Linked DNA regions of Oryctolagus cuniculus. The protein of the gene in region 1 interacts with the protein of each later gene in a biochemical or structural test. Links are inferred from orthologs where the notes say so. Each region holds a gene or a part of one and is shown in the gene's direction. Other genes may lie near its edges.

The links.
Region 2: the proteins of KDR (region 1) and SHC2 form a complex in vitro, tested with the Homo sapiens proteins (2 studies listed by BioGRID). The link is inferred for Oryctolagus cuniculus from reciprocal best matches to the Homo sapiens genes KDR and SHC2.
Region 3: the proteins of KDR (region 1) and HSPG2 form a complex in vitro, tested with the Homo sapiens proteins (2 studies listed by IntAct). The link is inferred for Oryctolagus cuniculus from reciprocal best matches to the Homo sapiens genes KDR and HSPG2.

What each region holds. Positions count from the first base shown.
Region 1 is NC_091439.1:109,314,721-109,321,932, forward strand, and holds the end of KDR (vascular endothelial growth factor receptor 2 precursor), read left to right. Parts: intron 1-1,892; coding exon 1,893-1,992; intron 1,993-2,478; coding exon 2,479-2,564; intron 2,565-5,003; coding exon 5,004-5,226; downstream 5,227-7,212. UniProt on the Homo sapiens protein: Tyrosine-protein kinase that acts as a cell-surface receptor for VEGFA, VEGFC and VEGFD. Plays an essential role in the regulation of angiogenesis, vascular development, vascular permeability, and embryonic hematopoiesis.
Region 2 is NC_091447.1:58,292,454-58,299,470, reverse strand, and holds part of SHC2 (SHC-transforming protein 2), read left to right. Parts: intron 1-470; coding exon 471-524; intron 525-615; coding exon 616-667; intron 668-746; coding exon 747-873; intron 874-1,093; coding exon 1,094-1,250; intron 1,251-3,386; coding exon 3,387-3,453; intron 3,454-4,660; coding exon 4,661-4,807; intron 4,808-5,686; coding exon 5,687-5,982; intron 5,983-6,471; coding exon 6,472-6,600; 3' UTR 6,601-6,605; intron 6,606-7,017. UniProt on the Homo sapiens protein: Signaling adapter that couples activated growth factor receptors to signaling pathway in neurons. Involved in the signal transduction pathways of neurotrophin-activated Trk receptors in cortical neurons.
Region 3 is NC_091438.1:149,170,128-149,177,470, forward strand, and holds the end of HSPG2 (basement membrane-specific heparan sulfate proteoglycan core protein), read left to right. Parts: coding exon 1-90; intron 91-214; coding exon 215-323; intron 324-749; coding exon 750-848; intron 849-1,217; coding exon 1,218-1,439; intron 1,440-1,699; coding exon 1,700-1,944; intron 1,945-2,274; coding exon 2,275-2,446; intron 2,447-2,529; coding exon 2,530-2,652; intron 2,653-2,756; coding exon 2,757-2,813; intron 2,814-4,350; coding exon 4,351-4,426; intron 4,427-4,514; coding exon 4,515-4,593; intron 4,594-4,746; coding exon 4,747-4,817; intron 4,818-4,920; coding exon 4,921-5,004; intron 5,005-5,278; coding exon 5,279-5,382; intron 5,383-5,530; coding exon 5,531-5,703; 3' UTR 5,704-6,650; downstream 6,651-7,343. Other genes in the region: LDLRAD2 (low-density lipoprotein receptor class A domain-containing protein 2), read right to left, coding at 6,943-7,160, 7,246-7,343. UniProt on the Homo sapiens protein: Integral component of basement membranes. Component of the glomerular basement membrane (GBM), responsible for the fixed negative electrostatic membrane charge, and which provides a barrier which is both size- and charge-selective.

The sequences.
Region 1 (7,212 bases):
TTCAGGGCGTTGTCCTTCTGGTGGGTCCCACTACCTCTGGTTGTGTCCATAGCCCAAAGTGAACTTTCTAAGGGCGCATCTGCTCATGTCAGTCCCATGCTTAAAATCCTCCAGGCTTTCTCGTCACCTTCAAAATAATAACGCTCTAGCCATGGGATTTCTCACGAGTTCCTTGACCTGCCCGTGCCTCAGTTTCCCCACCTGAAGAGCTGGGCTAGTAATGCCCGCTCCTAGAGCAGTAGCATTGTAAGGATGCCATATTGGCGTTGGAAGGGCACTTAGCATTCCCCGACGTGGGGGAGGCCCTCAGTGAGGGCTTCCTGTTGAGTGAGTGAATGGCTGATTGACATGGATGTGTAGGGCGTGTCGTTGTTGACAGCTCCACTGTTAGGGACCTTGCTTCTGGCTGCAGCTCGAGTCCTGTTTGTCGTGTGGAGTCTTGTGTGTGTGGGTCACTGGCAAACCCCATGTTTGTTCTCTTTCCTTGTAGGGAGAGGAGTCAGCCTCCTTGGTGGAGGAGGGAGACTTGGTCTCCATTCTCCTTTTTTTTCTTTTAATTTTTTTTTTTTTATTTTTTGACAGGCAGAGTGGACAGTGAGAGAGAGAGACAGAGAGAAAGGTCTTCCTTTTGCTGTTGGTTCACCCTCCAATGGCCGCTGTGGCCGGCACACCACGCTGATCCGAAGGCAGGAGCCAGGTGCTTCTCCTGGTCTCCCATGGGGTGCAGGGCCCAAGCACCTGGGCCATCCTCCACTGCACTCCCGGGCCACAGCAGAGAGCTGGCCTGGAAGAGGGGCAACTGGGACAGAATCTGGCGCCCTGACCGGGACTAGAACCCGGTGTGTCGGCACCACAGGTGGAGGATTAGCCTAGTGAGCCACGGCGCTGGCCAGGTCTCCATTCTCCTTTGCCCTGAGGTGTATGGGCATATTCCAGCAGGCGGCCTATGGGAGGAAATAGGTTGGGAGAAGAGTCTGTTTACTGTCTCTCTGGGCGCTTCCTGCGACAGGGACTTCCCATCCCCCGACTTGGGCTGGGTGTGGTTTTGGTAGGATTGTGTGGCCTCGACCCACAGGAGCACTCCCCAGGGAAGAGGTGATTGGCGCCTGACCTGACTTGTTCTCTGCGGGAAGCTCCTGATGGAAATGGGCTTCTTTTGGAATTCGAAGGAGAGGAGCGTGCTACCTTCCTGAGAACGCCAAGCCCAACACCTGCCACTTCATTCACCTTCCCGACAGCTGTGCGCACTGGGCAGCGGGGCAGTGAACGGCCAGCGCAGCCACAGCTCAGAAACACTCACGGGGTCTCAAGTCAGGGTGGGCAGTGGGAGACTCTGACATGCGCAGGATACGGCCTTTCCTGAGACAGGCGAAACGGGGGCTCTTGAGCCTCAGCCCGCCTCCTGCCCTCTATGGAAACTTCTAGAAGGAGGAAGGTGTCTGCAGCTCCTCGCTGCGTTCAGTGTGCTTTAGGGACGCCCACAGGTGCTTCCTCTTGTCCAGGTTGCTCTGTGAGTGGTGTCTGGAAAAACTGGCCCAGGCTCTGGGCCCAAAGATGTGAGTGGGATACCCAGAGTCCCTCAGGGTTGCCACGTGCATGCAGGAGGCCAGCAGTCTGCTGGGGTTGTCCTTAGGCCAGCGCTGGACCTCAGAAGTATGATTCAAAGGAACCAGGCTCCCCGGTTACATTATACTTTTAAATGGACTTTTACAGGAAATGAAGCCTTCAACGTGTGCTAGCAAAGATTTTGTTTTGTTTTGTTTTCTTTCTCCAAAGGATGTTTGGAAGGTCGCTGCTCAACTGTGGTTGAAAGATAATGAATTTAGGTATCACTTGTGGTATCTACAGCCAAATATACCACCACTAAAATATAAATATTTGTTCTCTTGCAGTCAGTATCTGCAGAACACTAAGCGAAAAAGCCGGCCTGTGAGTGTAAAAACATTTGAAGATATTCCGCTGGAGGAACCAGAAGTCAAAGTAGTCCCAGATGTAAGTACATCTTTTAAAAATAGTCTTAGAAATAATACGAAGGCTGAAACACTAGCTACACAAATATTAGCCTAAGCTTTAGAGTCTTGGAGCCCCATCGTAGGGCTGTGCTTGGTGGTATGTGCCACGGGGTCATTATGGGGATGGAACTTTGGTTTTTCCGTGAAAGAAAGGCCCTGGTCCAAGGTTCAAGAGGGACTAACTTCGTGCCCAGTTTCACTGAAGTGCAGAGAGTGTCACTGGGAGAGAGGGCTGGGAACGGACCTCCCAGCTGCTCCGTGCCTCCTCTCTTCCCCACCCTGGGCCTACCTGTGGGGAGCACCTGCGCCCTCCGCTAGCTTGCGCCGTTCCAGCTGCGACAGCTTCACCTTCCCCTGCAGGACACTGGAGCGTGTGCTCTGATAGAGGAGTTGGGAATCAGGTGAAGTCAGTCGCGGGTCCCTGCCTGCGCGCAGTCAGCCGAGCGTCTCCTTGTCTCTTACGCAGGACAACCAGTCGGACAGTGGCATGGTGCTTGCGTCAGAAGAGCTGAGAACTTTGGAAGACAGAACCAAATTAGTTCCGGCTTTTAGGTAAGGCTCAGCCAAAGGAAACCAATTTCAGCAGGAAATTCTGAAAACTGTTAAGGGGGGTTTTGCCTGTTAGTGTCTTTGTTGGTGGGAGAAGCTAACGTCCTTAATTAGCAACCCAACAAAGACTGGAACAATGAAATTGACAAGTCAGAACAAACAATCCGAGGTAAACGAGAGGATTTGGCTAATTTGGATGAGAATTTGTGAGTGCTAGGAGATTTCTGAGTGTATTTACCTTGCCTCTTAGTTTGTGTGATACTTGCAAAATAACAAAAATCTCACAGGTTGCGATCCCTAAAGCTACCGATAGATTAAAATCATCATGGACATAAATGAGTGACTCTTCACTTAGGACGGATGCTATGTGAATAAACCACACCTATTTATTTGAGATGCTTCAATACTGCTGAATTCTTATGTACTTAATTGTAGACAAAGTGTTACATTTGGTTTTGAATATAATCTCTCCCATATGACTCAACATAAACTTGTAGTTGCTTTGAATGCCTGTAGTTGCTTTTAACGTAACAAATACATGGAAATCTGTGTTCATAAGAATAATAGGGCCGGCACTGTGGCTCACTAGGCTAATCCTCCACCTGCAGCGGCACCAGCACCCCAGGTTCTAGTCCCGGTTGGGGCGCCGGATTCTGTCCCGGTTGCCCCTCTTCCAGTCCAGCTCTCTGCTGTGGCCCGGGAGGGCAGTGGAGGATGGCCCAAGTGCTTGGGCCCTGCACCCCATGGGAGACCAGGAGAAACACCTGGCTCCTGCCTTCGGATCAGCGTGGTGCGCCGGCCACAGCGGCCATTGGAGGGTGAACCAACAGCAAAAGGAAGACCTTTCTCTCTGTCTCTCTCTCTCACTGTCCACTCTGCCTGTCAAAAAAAAAAAAAAAAAAAAAAAAAAAAAAAAAAAAAAGGAGTGGATTGAAGGAAACATTCCATGTCTAGTCTTTGGAGTAACTTTTAAACATTTATTAACAGAGTTGGCAAACCTCTTTTTGAACTTTTGTTTTAAAGATTTTATTTATTTATTTGAGAGGTGGAGAGAGGGAGAGACAGAGAGAAAGGTCTGTCAGCCACTGGTTCACTCCCCAGATGGCCGCCACGGCCGAAGCTGGGCCGATCTGAAGCCAGAAGCCAGGAGCTTCTTCTGGGTCTCCCACACGGGTGCAGGGGCCCAAGGACTTGAGCCATCTTCCACTGCTTTCCCAGGCCATTAGCAGAGAGATAGATCAGAAAAGGAGCAGCCAGGACTTGAACCAGCGCCCATATGGGATGCCGGCGCCACAGGCTGAAACAGCCGACTGTGCCAACAGCACCGGCCCCTTTTTGAACTTTTTAGCCTGAGTGATTTGGGCGCAGCACTGATGAAGGGGAAGACTCCTTAGAGAGGCTTGAGATGTCAGTCATGAAGGCTTCGGTCTGCACGGTGCGCACTGCCCGATTCTGACACGGGTCCAGTCTGTCGGGGTGCCAGGCCACTGAGCCCGCGCTCTGGCTGGGGCTCCGTCCTTCCAAGGAATGTGGGGTTGAGGAGCGAAAAGCGGTTTGTGACACCTGATCTGTGTGCACTCACATCTCAAGGGGGTACAGTTTCCAGTTGTTCAAAACTCTTATAACCCCCATACCTGTGCCTGGTCGTACCCTCACAGAGAGAGTGTGGAGAGCACTGGTGAACGTCGAGAACATCCCAGTGTCCCTTTGGTGTTTTTTTTTTAAAGATTTATTTATTTATTTGAAAGGCAGAGTTACAGAGAGGCAGAGGCAGAGAGAGACAGAGAGGGAGAGAGAGAGGTCTTCCATCTAATGGTTCACTCCCCAGATGGCTGCAATGGCCGGAGCTGTGCCGATCCAAAGCCAGGAGCCAGGAACTTCTTCCAGGTCTCCCATGTGGGTGCAGGGGCCCAAGCACTTGGGCCATCCTCTACTGCTTTCCTGGGCCATAGCAGAGAGCTGGACGGGAAGTGGAGCAGCCAGGACTTGAACTGGCACCCATATGGGATGCTGGCGCTGCAGGCCAGAGCTTTAACCCACTGCGCCACAGTGCTGGCCCCTTAATTTCCTTTAAGACCACCAAAGTGGCCTCTTGGCTCCTGTCCGTGTATACACACTTGGCACTCTGCAGGGCCAGAAAGCCGCTCCCTTGGGTGGCAACTTTGCAGAGCCCGGAACTGCCTTTCCTTTGAAGGGAGGCTTCAGCGACTTGCACCTGGACGGGGAGACCACGCTGCAGCCACTGGTTCACACCAGGACCTGAAAACAGATACTGTCCCAGTCAACCGGACACGCGGATTAACGACGACTGGGAGAGACAGGGTGGCTGGCGGGGTCCCCAGGGAGATGACAGCCCACGTGGAGCTGGGAACGGGCTTAGGGCGACAAGCAAGCACCCTGTCTTCCCTCCGCCCACTCACTTGCTCTCCGTTTCTTCCACAGTGGGATGATGTCCAGCAAGAGCAGGGAGTCTGTGGCATCTGAAAGCTCCAACCAGACGAGCGGCTACCAGTCCGGGTACCACTCGGACGACACAGACACCGCGGTGTCCTCCAGTGAGGAGGCGGAACTTTTAAAGCGGGTGGAGGCTGGAGGGCCGGCGGGCGGCCCGGCCCTAGGTCTCCAGCCTGACTCTGGCGCCCTGCTGAGCTCCTCTGCTGTTTAAAGGGAGTGCCCGCGTACCCCACTCCTGGAAGTCCCGGGAGAGGCGAAGCTCAGCCAGCCACCGCCGCCGGGAAGTAGCCACATGTGACTTTTGTTTCCATAGAAACCAGAAAGGACCTCGGACTGCAGGGAGGAGTCTTCCAGGCGCTTCCCAACATGCTCGTGACCCAAGAATGTGTGTGTGTCTCCTCCTGTGCCGATCTCCCCTTCCAGCGGTTTCCAGACTGCCTCTCACGTCCCCAGCCGGAAGAAGCGGCCGGCCCTGGGGAGCCACCAGAGCTGGAGAACTGGGCGGTGCTGCCCGTGCTGGGGGTGGTGAGGCCGGCCACCATGGACAGGGCCCGGGCCAAGTGCACGGCGCTGTGCAGGCTGCGGGGCCTGCCCACGCCTCGTGTTGGCTCCGGCGAAGGTGGCCCCTGGTCTCTTAGGAAAGGCCGCCCGGGGTTTCTGGTTGGAGGAGTTTGCGTGCTCTGGGCAGCTGGGCCAAAGGAGAGTCCCTGGTGCGCTTCCGACCCCTGATGAGAGGTCCTTCCGCACCCTGACGTGGCTCCTGGCCGAGTCCCGGGAAGGAAATGACGCAGGTCTGGCGCCTTGTCTCCCGGGCCGATCTGCTCTGCAGAGCGCCGAGAAGGAAAGACACTGGGCCCGAGGTGCCCTGTCCCGGGCAGGAGTCTGACCCTGCAGGCGGCTTCTAGAGCGTCTGGCTGAGTGTACACCTGGCCGACCTGGTGGCTGGTGTCTGGGACTGACCGCAGCAGGTGTCAGCCTTGCGCCCCTTCTCCCCCCTCCCAGCCCCACGCCCTCGCCCCCACATTGGTTCTTTGGGGGCCCTCCACACTCCAGTAAGCCCAACTCGATTTGTTCACTCTCTTGACTGTTAGCTTTTTGTTTTTTTCAAAATTACTTTATAGCCAAAGTTATAATAACATCTATTGTATTATTTAGACTTTTAACATATGAAGCTGTTTCTTCTGATTTTTGTCCTTGTTCTGTTCTTTTCTTTAAAAAAAAAAAGAAGAAACTATTTTTCCATTGGTTGGTACCATAGTGTGAGATGCTGGGAACAATGGCTATAAGACATGCTATGGCACACATATTTATAGTCTGTTTATGTAGAAACAAATGTAATATATTAAAACCGTATAATATATATAATGAACTTTGTACTATTCACCCTTCGTATCAGTATTATGTAGCATAACAATGGCCATCGTATTTCAGCAATTGTTGTCATTTTATTAAAAAAAGCATTGAAACCTTAAAGGATTCTCTCCTGTACCTGCCATTTCTTTGGTTTTTCAAAGGGAGGAGGGGGAGTTAGACATAGTATGACTGTTTTGCATTTTTACTGGTGCCTCTCTTCATCTCATAAAGGATATTTTCATAAATGTTCATCTACTTTGTAAGCAATAAAGATATTCATAGTAAAAAAAAAAAAACAAATGGTATGGTACTATCACAGCTATTTTGAGAACAAGTACTCCTGGCTTGAGTTGTAATTGTTCATTGCACAGAGAATTCACGCGCGTGCACACACACACACACACACACACACGATCGTATTTGTAACACAGACCGAGATCCGTGTTTCCGTGTCCTGCCCATGGACCTCATGTCTCAGAACAATCACTGGCACTGATGAATCTCCCTACTTTTGTTGTGACTTGTTACACGGGATTTTGCAATGTGTCACATATGCCTCTTTCGGTGGCTCTTCGGTTCTTCATGTGATCGAGGAAGGTCTTCCCAATCCTAAAACAACCCCACATTCTAGGTTTGCCTCTCTGGTTGCACTTGAGTCCACTTGGGATTTATTTGCACACGTGAGGGTCAGGGCATCGCCACCTGCACTTGCGCCCCCTTTTCCCGTGGTTGTGGAACTGCCTCCCGTAGCGTCTGTCAAACCTGTCGTCCCACTGAGACCTGCCCAGTTTTATGACGGAGAAGCGGGTGGCTGTGTGGTGGCTGCTTCCCAAGGACAGCACTG
Region 2 (7,017 bases), on another chromosome or scaffold:
GTCTTTGTGTGTGTGTGTCTGTGTGTCTCTCTGTGTCTGTGTATGTGGGGAGTGAGCTACAGGGGTAGCTTGTGTGTGTGTGTGTGTGAGTTTGTGTGTCTGTGTGTCTCCCTGTGTCTGTGTATCCGGGGATGCTGACCTGTATGGGAGTGTCCAAGTGCTGCACTGGGAGACAGTCCACCACTGGGGGGTGTGCGCACCACCTGGAACCCCAGTCCTGCCCTCCCCTGGGTCCCCAGCTCCTTGGATGCTCAGGTGTGCTGGCTAGCCTGGCCCAGGGCCTGTCCCCTCTGGTCCCCGCTGTTTGGGACCCCCGTGACCGCCTGTCTCCCCCCTGGTCCCTGCTTTGGGGCCTCTGTGACCGCCTGTCTCCCCCCTGGTCCCTGCTTTGGGGCCTCTGTGACCGCCTGTCTCCCCCCTGGTCCCTGCTGTCCGGGGCCCCTGTGACCACCTGTGCCTCTCGGCCACAGACCATCGCCAGCCACCACATGCAGTCCATCTCCTTTGCGTCCGGTGGTGACAAGGTAAGGCCAGGCTGGGGGGGCAAACCTGCAGCACCTGCCCACGCCGGGGTCCCAGATGGCCCCGCTGACTGCTCCCACTGCCCCCCCCCAGGACATGACAGATTACGTGGCCTACGTGGCCAAGGACCCAGTCAACCAGAGAGGTGAGGCTGCGGCCATGGCTGCAGCGGGGGGCGTGGGCAGGGGCTGCAGCCGCTGGGTCCTGACGCCTGTGCCCCCCAGCCTGCCACATCCTGGAGTGCTGTGAGGGGCTCGCACAGCGCGTCATCAGCACCGTGGGCCAGGCCTTTGAGCTGCGTTTCAAACAGTACCTGCACAGCCCCCCGCAGGTGGGCGCGCCCCCGGACAGGTAAGCCACCGGCGGGGCTCCCGTCTCCTGGCTGCAGGCTGGCCGTGTCTGCTGGGAGGATGGCCGCCGGACAGGGCTGCGGGCTGCATTGCAAGACCAAGGGCGCCCTAAGTGTGTGGGTGCCTGGGCTCTGGCTCTGGAGGGGGCCCCGGGGCACGTGGTCCCCCACCCTGTGTGTTTGCGTGGGGGCTGTGCTGGGAGCTCAGTGTCCTCTGTCCAGGCTGACCGGGCAGGAGGAGTCGGCCTGGGGAGAGGAGGAGGAGCCCCCGGAGCACAGCTACTACAACAGTATCCCAGGCAAGGAGCCGCCCCTGGGGGGGCTGGTGGACTCCAGGCTGGCCCTCGCCCAGCCCTGCGCCCTCGGGACCCTCGGCCAGGTCAGCCTTTGTGTCCTGAACCCCTGACCCGACCCCCAGGTGCCCTGTCGCTCCATCTGCTCAGTTTTCCTGAGCTGGGCTCTGTCATTCCCGTGTCCACTTCATCCTGGCTGTGCCCACAGCAGGACTGGTGGGGGGGTGGGTGGGGGGAGGCCTTTCCTGAAGAAGCAACCTCTGGGCTGGGCCTGGGAGAGCAGTGTGGGGGCCAGCAGGGCAGGCAGAGGGGCCAGGGTGGTGGACAGAGGGGCCAGGGTGGTGGGCAGAGGGGCCAGGGTGGTGGGCAGCGGGGCCAGGGTGGTGGGCAGAGGGGCCAGGGTGGTGGGCAGCGGGGCCAGGGTGGTGGCAGAGGGGCCAGGGTGGTGGGCAGAGGGGCCAGGGTGGTGGGCAGAGGGGCCAGGGTGGTGGACAGCGGGGCCAGGGTGGTGGGCAGAGGGGCCAGGGTGGTGGACAGCGGGGCCAGGGTGGTGGGCAGAGGGGCCAGGGTGGTGGGCAGAGGGGCCAGGGTGGTGGACAGCGGGGCCAGGGTGGTGGACAGAAGGGCCAGGGTGGTGGGCAGCGGGGCCAGGGTGGTGGGTAGAGGGGCCAGGGTGGTGGGCAGAGGGGCCAGGGTGGTGGACAGCGGGGCCAGGGTGGTGGGCAGAGGGCCAGGGTGGTGGGCAGAGGGGCCAGGGTGGTGGACAGAAGGGCCAGGGTGGTGGGCAGCGGGGCCAGGGTGGTGGGCAGAGGGGCCAGGGTGGTGGGCAGCGGGGCCAGGGTGGTGGGCAGAGGGGCCAGGGTGGTGGGCAGCGGGGCCAGGGTGGTGGGCAGAGGGGCCAGGGTGGTGGACAGCGGGGCCAGGGTGGTGGGCAGAGGGGCCAGGGTGGTGGACAGCGGGGCCAGGGTGGTGGGCAGAGGGGCCAGGGTGGTGGGCAGCGGGGCCAGGGTGGTGGGCAGAGGGGCCAGGGTGGTGGACAGCGGGGCCAGGGTGGTGGGCAGAGGGGCCAGGGTGGTGGGCAGCGGGGCCAGGGTGGTGGACAGCGGGGCCAGGGTGGTGGGCAGAGGGGCCAGGGTGGTGGACAGCGGGGCCAGGGTGGTGGGCAGAGGGGCCAGGGTGGTGGGCAGCGGGGCCAGGGTGGTGGACAGAAGGGCCAGGGTGGTGGGCAGCGGGGCCAGGGTGGTGGGTAGAGGGGCCAGGGTGGTGGGCAGAGGGGCCAGGGTGGTGGACAGCAGGGCCAGGGTGGTGGGCAGAGGGCCAGGGTGGTGGGCAGAGGGGCCAGGGTGGTGGACAGAAGGGCCAGGCTGGTGGGCAGCGGGGCCAGGGTGGTGGGCAGAGGGGCCAGGGTGGTGGGCAGCGGGGCCAGGGTGGTGGGCAGAAGGGCCAGGGTGGTGGGCAGCGGGGCCAGGGTGGTGGGCAGAGGGGCCAGGGTGGTGGGCAGCGGGGCCAGGGTGGTGGACAGAGGGGCCAGGGTGGTGGACAGAGGGGCCAGGGTGGTGGGCAGAGGGGCCAGGGTGGTGGACAGTGGGGCCAGGGTGGTGGACAGTGGGGCCAGGGTGGTGGGCAGCGGGGCCAGCGTGGTGGGCAGCGGGGCCAGGGTGGTGGACAGAGGGGCCAGGATGGTGGGAAGAGGGGCCAGCACAGCAGAGGGCCAGGGTGGTGGGCAGAGGGGCCAGGGTGGTGGGCAGTGGGGCCAGGGTGGTGGACAGTGGGGCCAGGGTGGTGGGCAGCGGGGCCAGCGTGGTGGGCAGCGGGGCCAGGGTGGTGGACAGAGGGGCCAGGATGGTGGGAAGAGGGGCCAGCACAGCAGAGGGCCAGGGTGGTGGGCAGAGGGGCCAGGGTGGTGGGCAGTGGGGCCAGGGTGGTGGGCAGAGGGGCCAGGGTGGTGGACAGTGGGGCCAGCACAACAGAGGGCCAGGTGGCAGACAGAGTGACCAGCATGGTGGACAGAGGGGCCAGGGTGGGCTTGGCAGGAGGGCTGGGCTGCCCTTGCATGGGGAGAAGGCTGGTGAAGGGTGGGTGGTGGGCACCATGCAGACCCCGGTGGGCTCTGGGTGCCCAGGGAGGGTCTAGGGCGGAGACCCCCAGTGTCCCTGGGAGGAGGGAGGCTGGGTGCTGGGCAGGGTGTGTGGGTGGTGAGGGGCCCCATGCTTCTCTCTCAGGGAACGTCCTCTCTTGCCCGGAGGGAGGCCCGTGGCCTGCAGTGGGACCTTTGGCCCTGCGGCGCAGGTAGGACTGGGTGAACCCGCACACCCCCAAGGCCGCCAGGGGCCCCTCAGCCCAGCTTGGCGCCCTGCTCCTATCTGAGCCCCCAGGTCCCTTGGGGTCCCTGTGTCAAATGGCTCCAGGCACCCAGGAGGGTGGAGGCCTCACAGGAAGTCGCTCACTGCTCCCGCCCCCCTCCCTGGTCGGGGAGCTCCCAGAACATGCATGGACGGAAGCCAGGCCACACGTGTGCTGGGGACACGGCAGCGGTCACACGTGAGCTGGGGACACGGCAGCGGTCACACGTGAGCTGGGGACACGGCAGCCAGGTGACACGTGTGCTGGGGACACGGCAGCGGTCACACGTGAGCTGGGGACACGGCAGCCAGGTAACACGTGTGTTGGGGACACGGCAGCCAGGTAACACGTGTGCTGGGGACACGGCAGCGGTCACATGTGTGCTGGGGACACGGCAGTGGTCCCACGTGAGCTGGGGACACGGCAGCCAGGTCACACGTGTGCTGGGGACACGGCAGCCAGGTCACACGTGTGCTGGGGACACGGCAGCGGTTACACGTGTGCTGGGGACACGGCAGTGGTCACACGTGAGCTGGGGACACGGCAGCCAGGTGACACGTGTGCTGGGGACACGGCAGCCAGGTGACACGTGTGCTGGGGACACGGCAGCCAGGTCACACGTGAGCTGGGGACACGGCAGCCAGGCCACACGTGTGCTGGGGACACGGCAGCAGTCACACATGTGCTGGGGACACGGCAGTGGTCACACGTGAGCTGGGGACACGGCAGCCAGGCCACACGTGTGCTGGGGACACAGCAGCCAGGTCACACGTGTGCTGGGGACACGGCAGCGGTCACACGTGTGCTGGGGACACGGCAGTGGTCACACGTGAGCTGTATAGGTGAAGGCCCCACCCATGCACCCCTTCTTCCTGCAACCCCACGGCAGTCAGGGGTCAGGGAGACCGGCCATGCAGCTGCGCCTTGGCCCCACGCCCGCAGACGGCAGAGAGAACGTGGGGGAGTCAGGCAGGAGTGGCGGACCACAGGAGCGCAGGGCCCCCCGGCACCTGGGCCTCTCCGGTCACTTCAGGCCCCTGTGCGGCTTTCCAGCCCACTGTGCCTGGGCCTTTGCGAGCGGATGGGGCGGCCTCCCCCCGTCCAGAGCCCCTCCCGCATCCCCGCTGACCTCAGCACTCCCCTCCCTCGCCAGCGCCGCCGGGGGACGGCTACGTGCAGGCGGACGCCCAGGGGCCGCGGGACTATGAGGAGCACCTGTACGTCAACACCCAGGGGCTGGACAGCGCAGAGCCTGAGGACCCAGCCGAGGACAGCCCCAAGAAGGACCTGTTCGACATGCGTACGTGGGGCCTGGGGGGCCCTGTCTGACGGGGGAGGCCTGGTGGGCTCCCACAGAGGAACTCTGGGATCTTCTGTGGGAGTCTGCAGTCGGGTGGGAGAGGCTGTGGCACGCTCCCATGGTGTTTCACGGTGCATGGGCCCCAGACTGGGGGTGCCCAAACCTGGCTTGGACCCCCGCCCTGTCTGTTGGGGAGGCGTGGCTCCCCATCTCTGGTTTCCCCAGTCTGATGAGGGCGGCCTGGCCCACGCCTCCGGGAAGAGACTAGTCTGATGGTGGAGGTCCATCTGGTGGATGGGGCCTGCCTTCCTATACCCAAAGTGACTCAGTCCCAGCGACCCAGCAACCCCACACTGCTGCTGGATGTGGCGGGGGCTGGGGTCCCTCAGGACTGCCCCCTAGGGTCCCCCATGCTGCTGGAAGCCCCCATCCGTGTCACCCGACCCCAAGATTTCTGACTGTTGCCAGGCCTGGGGACGCTGGCGTAAGGGGAGGGAGCCCCGGGGCTGGGCGGTGAGGCTGGGTGCACGCTGGCTCTGAGGGGCGTGTCCAAACCACAGTGGTCCCCGCTGGAAGCAGGACGCGGAGGGACTTCTGCTTGGTGGGCAGTGGCGATGGCAGGTGTCCGGGGTGGGGGGAGCAGTGTTGCGCCGCCAGCCGTGGCCAGTGCTGTAGGACCAGCAGTGACCCGCGAGAGCCCACGCTGGGAGGGAGGGCGCGGGGCAGCCGGAAACCAGGGGGAGGCAGATGTGTGGTCGCCGGGGAGGGCGCCAGGCTGTGCGCGCGGCGGCGCGGGGCCCAGACGCCGCCTGGAAGCTTGGGGGGAGCCGCCCGCCCTCCAGCTCCGGCCCCGCGCCCACCCCTCTCCTCCCTCCGCAGGGCCCTTTGAGGATGCGCTCAGGCTCCACGAGTGCGCCCTGGCAGCCCCCCTCCCCCTGGAGGACCAGTGGCCCAGCCCGCCCACTCGCCGGGCCCCCGTGGCCCCCACGGAGGAGCAGCTGCGGCAGGAGCCCTGGTACCACGGACGCATGAGCCGCCGCGCAGCCGAGAAGCTGCTTCGAGCCGACGGGGACTTCCTCGTGCGCGACAGCGTCACCAACCCCGGGCAGTACGTCCTCTCGGGCATGCAGGCCGGGCAGCCCAAGCACCTGCTCCTCGTGGACCCCGAGGGCGTGGTAAGCGGGCGCGGGCGGGCGGGCGGGTTTCCGGAGGCGTCCAGGCCACGCCCTTCCGGCCGCAGTAGCATCCCCCAGTGCTTTGCAAGCTGGCAGGAATCTCAGGGCTCCCGAATTGTGGTTCACAAAAGTGCTCCCGCGGTTCAGTTTCCGGATGTGCAAGGCACCGCGGGTCACCTGGGTCCGATGCGCTCTCCTCCCGCGGCCACCAGCACCTTCCAGTAGACACCGATGTCTTTGGGCGAAAATACGGCTTTCTCAGCCACGTGTAGTCGGGCTTTCCAAGCAAGATCTCTCGTACCAGGCGCTCAGGTGTGGTGCTGAGCTGCTGCAGGTGCAGGACCGGCCCGGGGCGGTGGCAGTGGACTCCTCGCTGGCCAGGAGCCCCGGGGGTGCTCAGAGGAGGCGCAGGCTGGACTTCCCCGGGGGGCCGTGGAGGCACATTGCTGGCCGCGCTCTGTGACGCGGACGCTGTGTTTGGCCCTGCAGGTGCGGACGAAGGATGTGTTGTTTGAGAGCATCAGCCACCTCATCAGCTACCACCTGCAGAACGGGCAGCCCATCGTGGCTGCCGAGAGCGAGCTGCACCTGCGCGGGGTGGTCACCCGGGAGCCCTGAGCCAGGTGTGTGTCACCTGCTGCTTGCCCAGGCAGCAGGCTGTTTGCTCTCCTTACCAAAAGATGAGCTACACGCCCCGCAGCGCGCAGATCGGCCGTTAGGAGGATTCGCCGTGGTGGGTGTTAGCACATCCTCATGGTCAGGCAGCCCTCGCTTCTGTCTGCTTCCGGAACGTTCTCACCCAGTAGTAACCCTGGTCTCCAGGAAGCCACTCCCTCTCCCCCTCCAGCCCCTGTGCTGGGCGTTTCCCGTCAGTGGAGCCCACACGTGGGGCCTTCCGTGTGTGCGTCTCTCCCTGGGTGACGTCCTCAGGGTCCTGCATGTGTGGCGCATGTCAGAGCCTCACTCCTGCTCTGGCTGTGTGATGCCCCGGGGGAGGGGGGGGTCCATGCCATGTGTGTCCACTCACCCCTGAGG
Region 3 (7,343 bases), on another chromosome or scaffold:
ATCCAGGGCGAGGAGATCATCTTCCATGACCTCAACCTCACCGCGCACGGCATCTCCCACTGCCCGACCTGTCGGGACCGGCCCTGCCAGGTGAGCCCACGCGTGCGCCCCCTGGCGGCCCCAGCCACTGCCCTCCCTCGGCCGCGGCCAGCCCCTGTGAGGAGAGGGGAGGGCCAGGGTGTGCTCGGCCTGACTCTTGAGGGCTGCTTTGCAGAACGGGGGCCAGTGCCACGACTCGGAGAGCAGCAGCTATGTGTGCGTATGCCCGGCTGGCTTCACCGGGAGCCGCTGTGAGCACTCGCAGGCCCTGCACTGCCACCCAGGTGTGTACCCCACGTCTGCCTGGATGCTCGCCTCTGCCACCCCTTCCTCTCCACCCACACCCCAGCCCATCACGCTTAGCCAAGAGCGTCCCACTCCTCCCAGATAGCCCCTCCTCCAGCTCTGCCAGCCAGGGAGCCCCCATCACCACCACACAGGTGCCTGCCCACTACCATCTCACTCACTGAGGGAGGATCACACCCATCTCCCATCATACCCAGCCCCGCCTCCCCTGCCCTGGTCACTGCTGGCTGGATGCTGACCACCAGGCATCCTGTGACCATGGAGCCACTCACTCACTGCCCCCAGCCTCCTGGGAAGCCCTCCCAGGCCGCCTTGGCCACAGCTAGCCAAGGACACACGTGCATCAGGGCCCCACCCCCCCCCAAGTCACCTCTGTCCTCCTCACTGGCCTGTGTGTCCCCCAGAGGCCTGTGGGCCAGACGCCACCTGTGTGAACCGGCCCGATGGTCGGGGCTACACCTGCCGCTGCCACCTGGGCCGCTCGGGGCCGAGGTGTGAGGAAGGTGAGTGGAAGTGGGCCCGGGATGCCCTGGGGGCTCAGTGATGGTTGGGGAAGCTGAGCAGGGCACCCTGAGACTAAGATGGGCCCTACAGGTATAAACTCAGCCCAGAGCCAGAACCAGTACAAAACTACCTGGCCGCAGGTCCGCCCAGCCTGAATCCCTCCCGTGAGGGTCCCTCTCTTATGAGAGTCCCTCCCAGCCTGGTGTGCAGTGCCGGGCACAGAGGCTCCCAGGCTGCTCCGGCTGCCTTGCAGCTGGTCCTGAGCCCCTGTGGTCGGCGGGGGTCCCGGAGCGGGGCTGAGCAGCAGGACCCGCCCCACACTCCGGCATCCCCACTGCTGCGCCCTGGCTGAGCTGTGGCTGCCACAGGTGTGACAGTGACCACCCCCTCCATGTCGGGCGCCGGCTCCTACCTGGCACTGCCCGCCCTCACCAACACACACCACGAGCTACGCCTGGACGTTGAGTTCAAGCCGCTGGCGCCCGATGGGATCTTGCTGTTCAGCGGGGGGAAGAGCGGGCCTGTGGAGGATTTCGTGTCCCTGGCGATGGCTGGTGGCCACCTGGAGTTCCGCTATGAACTGGGGTCAGGTACGTACCGGGCGCCAGAGGCAGATGGGCCTCAGGGTCCCAAGCTCTGTGGCCCCCTTGGCCTTCCATGCCCCACGGAGGCGGGGAGGAGGAGACTCGGGGGTCAGGCCCCTGTGGTCCCCTGTTGCTACTGTCCCTTGCCACGGTGACTTTAAGCCCGTCCCCAGAGCCTTGGGTTCCTCCTTTGGGGTGGCCAGCGATGTGGGAAGTTCCCCATCTGCCCAAGTCCCCAGCCCTGACTGCTGTCCCCCACACCCCAGGGCTGGCTGTTCTGCGGAGCCCCGAGCCGCTGGCGCTGGGCCGCTGGCACCGCGTGTCTGCTGAGCGCCTCAACAAGGACGGCAGCCTGCGGGTGAACGGCGGCCGCCCCGTGCTCCGCTCCTCTCCCGGCAAGAGCCAGGGCCTCAACCTGCACACCCTCCTCTACCTGGGTGGCGTGGAGCCCTCCGTGCCGCTGTCCCCGGCCGCCAACGTCAGTGCTCACTTCCGCGGCTGCGTGGGCGAGGTGAGGAGCCACCTGCGAGAATGACTAGGGGAGAGGGGTGCAGGCTGAGCCGCCGGCCGTGTCCCACTGGGGTCCTGGGAAAGATGGTTCGCCTCAGAGTCTCAGTTTCCCCCTCTGTAAAATGGGACCAACACCTCTGTTGCAGCAGTGCACTGAGGGACCCACCGCCCGGGTGGACGGCTGTTCCTGGCACATAGGGGTGTCACCTCGGCACCTCTGGTCCACCTGTCGCAAGGCTCCCATCTACCCTCTACCTCTTCCTCTTGGCTGGCTCACGTGTCCCCCTGCCTCCTGCACCCCTTTAGTCCCTCGATGTCCCTGTGCCCACAGGTGTCTGTGAACGGGAAGCGGCTGGACCTCACCTACAGCTTCCTCGGCAGCCAGGGCGTCGGGCAGTGCTACGACAGCTCCCCGTGTGAGCGCCAGCCTTGCCAGAACGGTGCCACCTGCATGCCCGCTGGCGAGTACGAATTCCAGTGCCTGTGTCGCGACGGCTTCAAAGGTAGGACAGCTGCCCGGGTGCTGGGGGTCCGCGACACCTCTGGCCCATGCCCACCACGCCCTCACCTCTGCCCTGGCCCCCAGGTGACCTCTGTGAGCAGGAGGAGAACCCTTGCCAGCTCCACGAGCCTTGTCTGCATGGGGGCACCTGCCAGGGCACCCGCTGCCTCTGTCTCCCTGGCTTCTCGGGCCCACGCTGCCAGCAAGGTACACGGCCCTGGCTGCTTTCCACCGCCCTCTTGGGACCCTGGGGCTGGACCCAGCGCGCAGCGGAGCTGTGCCCACCAACTGGGCCCCGGTCTTTCCCGTAGGTCCTGGACATGGCCTCGCGGAGTCCGACTGGCACCTGGAAGGCAGCGGGGGCAGCGGTAGGTGCCTGCTGTGACCCACAGGGAAGCCGGGGTGCTGGTCTCCTCCCTGGCTTCTGTCCCTCAGCCCCGCTCTCCAGCCCACGTCTTCAATCCTGAGCAAAACAGGCTGTGTGAGGGCCTCACAGGGCACAGAAAGGGCAGAATGAAGAAGGGCACTGCCCAGAGCTGAGTCCTGCCCCATGCTGACCGGCAGGGTGACCTCGGACAGGTCTTTGAGCCACTCTGACCTTGCTGTCCTCCCCGTGCCCATACTGGGGACAGTGAAGCATAGATGAGTAAGGACCCTCATTCTCCAGGACTCCCCCATAATATGATAAAGAATGCTCATTGGTCCCTTGCAGGCTCTGTGCTAGCTCCTGTTTAGGTACGTGTTCCTTACTCCACACTAACAGACTAGGAGAGATGGTGTGGAGTAGTTAAAGAGCCCAGACCCTGGAGCCAGCCTGCCTGGGTTCAAGTCCTAGCCTGCCCCTTAATAGCTGTGTGCCTTTGGATGAGTCCCTTGACCTCTCTGTGCCTTAGTCTCCCCATGTATAAAATAGAAGGAATCTCTTCCCAGAGGCTTTGGGTACAATGCTGCCTGAGAGTAAAATGGTTGGGTATACTGAGCATGCTCAGAACAGCATCTGGTCTGGGACGCTGGCCCCTTTGACTGTGGGGTGCTGGAGGTCTCAGCTCAGGGGAATGAGGCTGGCAGCTGGCTGTGAAGCTCCCTGCACAGGCTCACAATGGGCGCTTGGCAGATGACAGCAGCCATTGTCCGGGGGACGGTGGCCAAGCGTCCTGCCCAGTGCTAGCCCGAGGGTGGGTCGTGAGCAGATGGGGGTGGAGGAGCTGCACACAGGACCTACGGGAAAGACCAGGGCCCAGTTGGTGGGCACAGGTGGCACTCCAGGCTTCCCACTCCCTGGGCAGGTAGCTCAGCTGAGTCTGACCTCCCATCTGTAAAACCGGGAGAGCACCAAGGCTCCAAACCACTGTTCGCCATGGCCCAGGCGACCGCCCGTCCCGGCCTGCTCAGGACCGAGGGGCTGTCTGGGGATGTGGGACCTGCAGCGCCAAAGCCAGCCAGAGCCTGGCAGATGGGGAAGGGGGCCAGCCCACAAGAGCCTGCCCGACCATGTGAAGCCAAGGACACCGGTTGAGCCGAAATGTATGGAAATACTTTTAGATTTGTCATCTCTGCACTTCTTTATTAGCACAATAAATAGGGAGGCCTAGCGGAGGTCCTAATAGCAACCACGGCGTCAAAGCAGTGGGCAGCGCCCGCAGTACTGGAAATTTCTACACTCGAGCCGCGGGCTAAGCCAGTGTTAGTGGCCGGGTCCCTGCTTTGTCACCTACGTCCGTAACGGCCAAACTTCAGTACGAAGTGAATAAAAGCAGACGGGATGGTTCTCTGCCCAGTCGACGGCCCCCGGGGCTGCTCGGGGACTGCAGGTTCAGAGCCCAGGAGTGCCCAGGTCACAGCCGAGGTGGGGTCGGGGCACTCACACCTGCTGCTCACCACCGCCCCGCCCCCCTGCTTCCGCAGACGCCCCGGGCCAGTACAGCGCCTACTTCCACGACGGCGGCTTCCTGGCCCTCCCGGGACATGTCTTCTCCAGAAGGTGAGGCGGGCCCTGGCAGGACCGGGGGCCTGGAGGGAGCCTGGGATTCCAGGGCTCTGCCCCTCACGCCCTCCTCCCCTGCCCGCAGCCTGCCGGAGGTGCCCGAGACCATCGAGCTGGAGGTTCGGACCAGCACAGCCAGCGGCCTCCTGCTCTGGCAGGGAGTGGTGAGTGTGGGCACGTGGCCCAGTTTCTGGGGCAGGCAGCCGGCCTCCTGCTGGCCGGGGCCACGGGGAGAGAGGAAGGGGGAGGCTACTGTTTTCCAGGGCCTCTGCTCTCCAGGGCAGGGGGCCCCAAGAGACCCTGTGCTTCCCCGGCAGGAGATGGGAGAGGCCAGCCGAGGCAAGGACTTCATCGGCCTTGGGCTTCAGGATGGGCACCTTGTCTTCAGGTGGGTCCCGCCCCTGAGCAGCTTGCAGCGCCCCCACCCCCGCCACCCCCACCCCCTCCTCCGTTCCTGTCTGGCTCATACTCTCTGGGGCCCGTGACCGCAGCTACCAGCTGGGCAGTGGGGAGGCCCGCCTTGTCTCTGAGGACCCCATCAATGACGGCGAGTGGCATCGGGTGACGGCGCTGCGGTGAGGGAGCCCGACTGGGCACTCGGGCAAGGGGCCCCAAGTTCTGGGGTGGGACCCCAAGTTCCGTGGAGGGCAGGGAGGCGGGCATTTGAGCTCTGCAGAGATAGAACCTGAAGCTGGGCAGAGAGACCAGGAAACGGGGTTGTCGGGGCCCAGTCTCTCACCCGGCGGGCGCCAAGGAGCTCAGGGGGCTGGGGGCAGCTGCGATTCCTTGGGTGGGCCTGGGAAGAGGGGGGGCGGTCTGTGGCAGGGGCCTGACCCAGTTCCACTACAGAGAGGGCCGCCGAGGCTCCATCCAGGTGGACGGTGAGGAGCTGGTCAGCGGCCAGTCCCCAGGCCGGAACGTGGCAGTCAACACCAAAGGCAGCGTCTACGTGGGTAAGCACCAGGCTCGGGTCCACTGCAGGCCTGGAGCCACCCTCAGTGTGAGGGGAGGGAATGGCACTCATGTCGAGAGCAGTGCACCTGCCCTGCCTCCCCTCCTGGCTTCTGGAGCCAACTCACTCCCTCGCTTCGCCTCCCGCAGGCGGAGCCCCCGACGTGGCCGCTCTCACTGGAGGCAGGTTCTCCTCGGGCATCACGGGCTGCATCAAGAACCTGGTGCTGCACTCGGCCCGGCCCGGCGGCCCACCCCCACAGCCCCTGGACCTGCAGCACCGCGCCCAGGCTGGGGCCAACACGCGCCCCTGCCCCTCGTAGGCACCTGCCTGCCCCCAACGGACTCCCGGGCAGCGCCCAGCCCGACCATGTCGAGTATATTATTATTAATATTATTATGATGATTTTTTGTAAGAAACCGAGGCGATGCCACGCTTTGCTGCTACCGCCCTGGGCTGGACTGGAGGGGGGATGACACCCCCACGCACACCTGGGCAAAGCCACAAGGCTGGTAGGCGGGGCAGGTCGGATGGAGTAGACGCCCCAGGAGGCCACCAGGACGTGGAGTCAGGCACGGTGGCTGGGCAGGCCCTGAGCTGCTCCCACGCGGCCGCCCTGAGGGGCCCCTCCGGGCAGAGCCAGGATGCCCACCTCAGCAGCCCTTGCCAGCCCTCATTCCTGGGAGAGCCCACCTCGGCTTCCATCCTGGTGCTCGCCGTCTACCTGGAACAGGAGGGCATCACGGGAGCCCTGGCCACCCCCTCTGGGCTGGGAAGCTCTCTAGCGTCTGCTGTGGCGCAGAAGGCAGCTCCCCCTCCCCCCAGCCCACGTCTCAGCCTCCCTCCATCTCCCCGCCCCCAGCCGGCCAGGCCACCTGTGCCGGGAAGCCTCCCCACTCCCACCAAGCCCCCTGGCCTGCACTCCCCACCTCCCACGCACAGCCCAGGGTCCCTGACCACAGGGGCTACAAGGGAACACCCCCCCCCCCCGCCCCCGCCGGAGCTGTTCCAGGCAGAGCTGAGCACTGAGAGGCTCTCCACCCACGCCAGGCCCCATCCCCCCACTCGTCTGGAAGTGAAGGCCCAGGGGACTGGGGGGCTGCTGGCGGTCGGAGGAGTTGGTGCCTTAGGAAGGGGATCGCCAGCCTGTCCCATCGACGGGAGCCTGTCCGAGGCTGGGGGGTTGGGACGCCCGGCCTCCATGTCCGAGAACGGACCCTCTGTGGTCTTTGTCCTGATTTTTCTTAATAAACGGTGCTATCCCCGCCAGGGCTTGCCTGTGTGCTTTACTGGGGTTTGGCTCCAGGGCCCCTGCAGTGGGGCAGAGAGAGCAGCCGAGGTCCAGGAGTGAAGCGAGGCAGCCCCCACTGCAGAGCGCAGCCACCAGCAGAGCTCGGGCCTGGTCACCGCCCCCACCCCCCCAGCCCTCACCACCACCCTGCAGGGCGGGAATGTCCCATTCCCTGAGGGGTTTAAGTGGCTGACCCAAGGTCAGCCAGCTGAGGGGTTGGAACCCGAGGTCCATCTGACCCCAGAGCCCTCTCTGACGCCCGCAGCCCCTCTAGGGGTGGTCTCCCCGACCTGGGGAGACTGGCCCACTCAGCTGCAGCCCTCCGGGGGCGACTTGGCCAGGACACACGCGGCAGACAGTGCAGGCTGGAGCAGCAGGCCACCAGGCCAGCCGGCCAAAGGAGCAGCAGCACCAGAGGAGACCCACGAGGAGGCCAGCACAGGCCAGGAGCAGAGAGGAGGCCAGCGCCACGCCCCATCGCCAGGGACCTGCGGGAAGGAAGAGCCCACTCAGCCCTCAGCCCAGGCCGATGCCCTGTCTGTCTTCACCATGTGTGATGCCGAGTGCTCCTACCTTCCAAAGCTGTGTCCTGGAGTGCGCGGCCCCGGCCCTCTGGGGGACTCCTCGGAGCTGTGGTCTGGGGGGAGCCTGCAGACCCGGGAGCCCAGGAG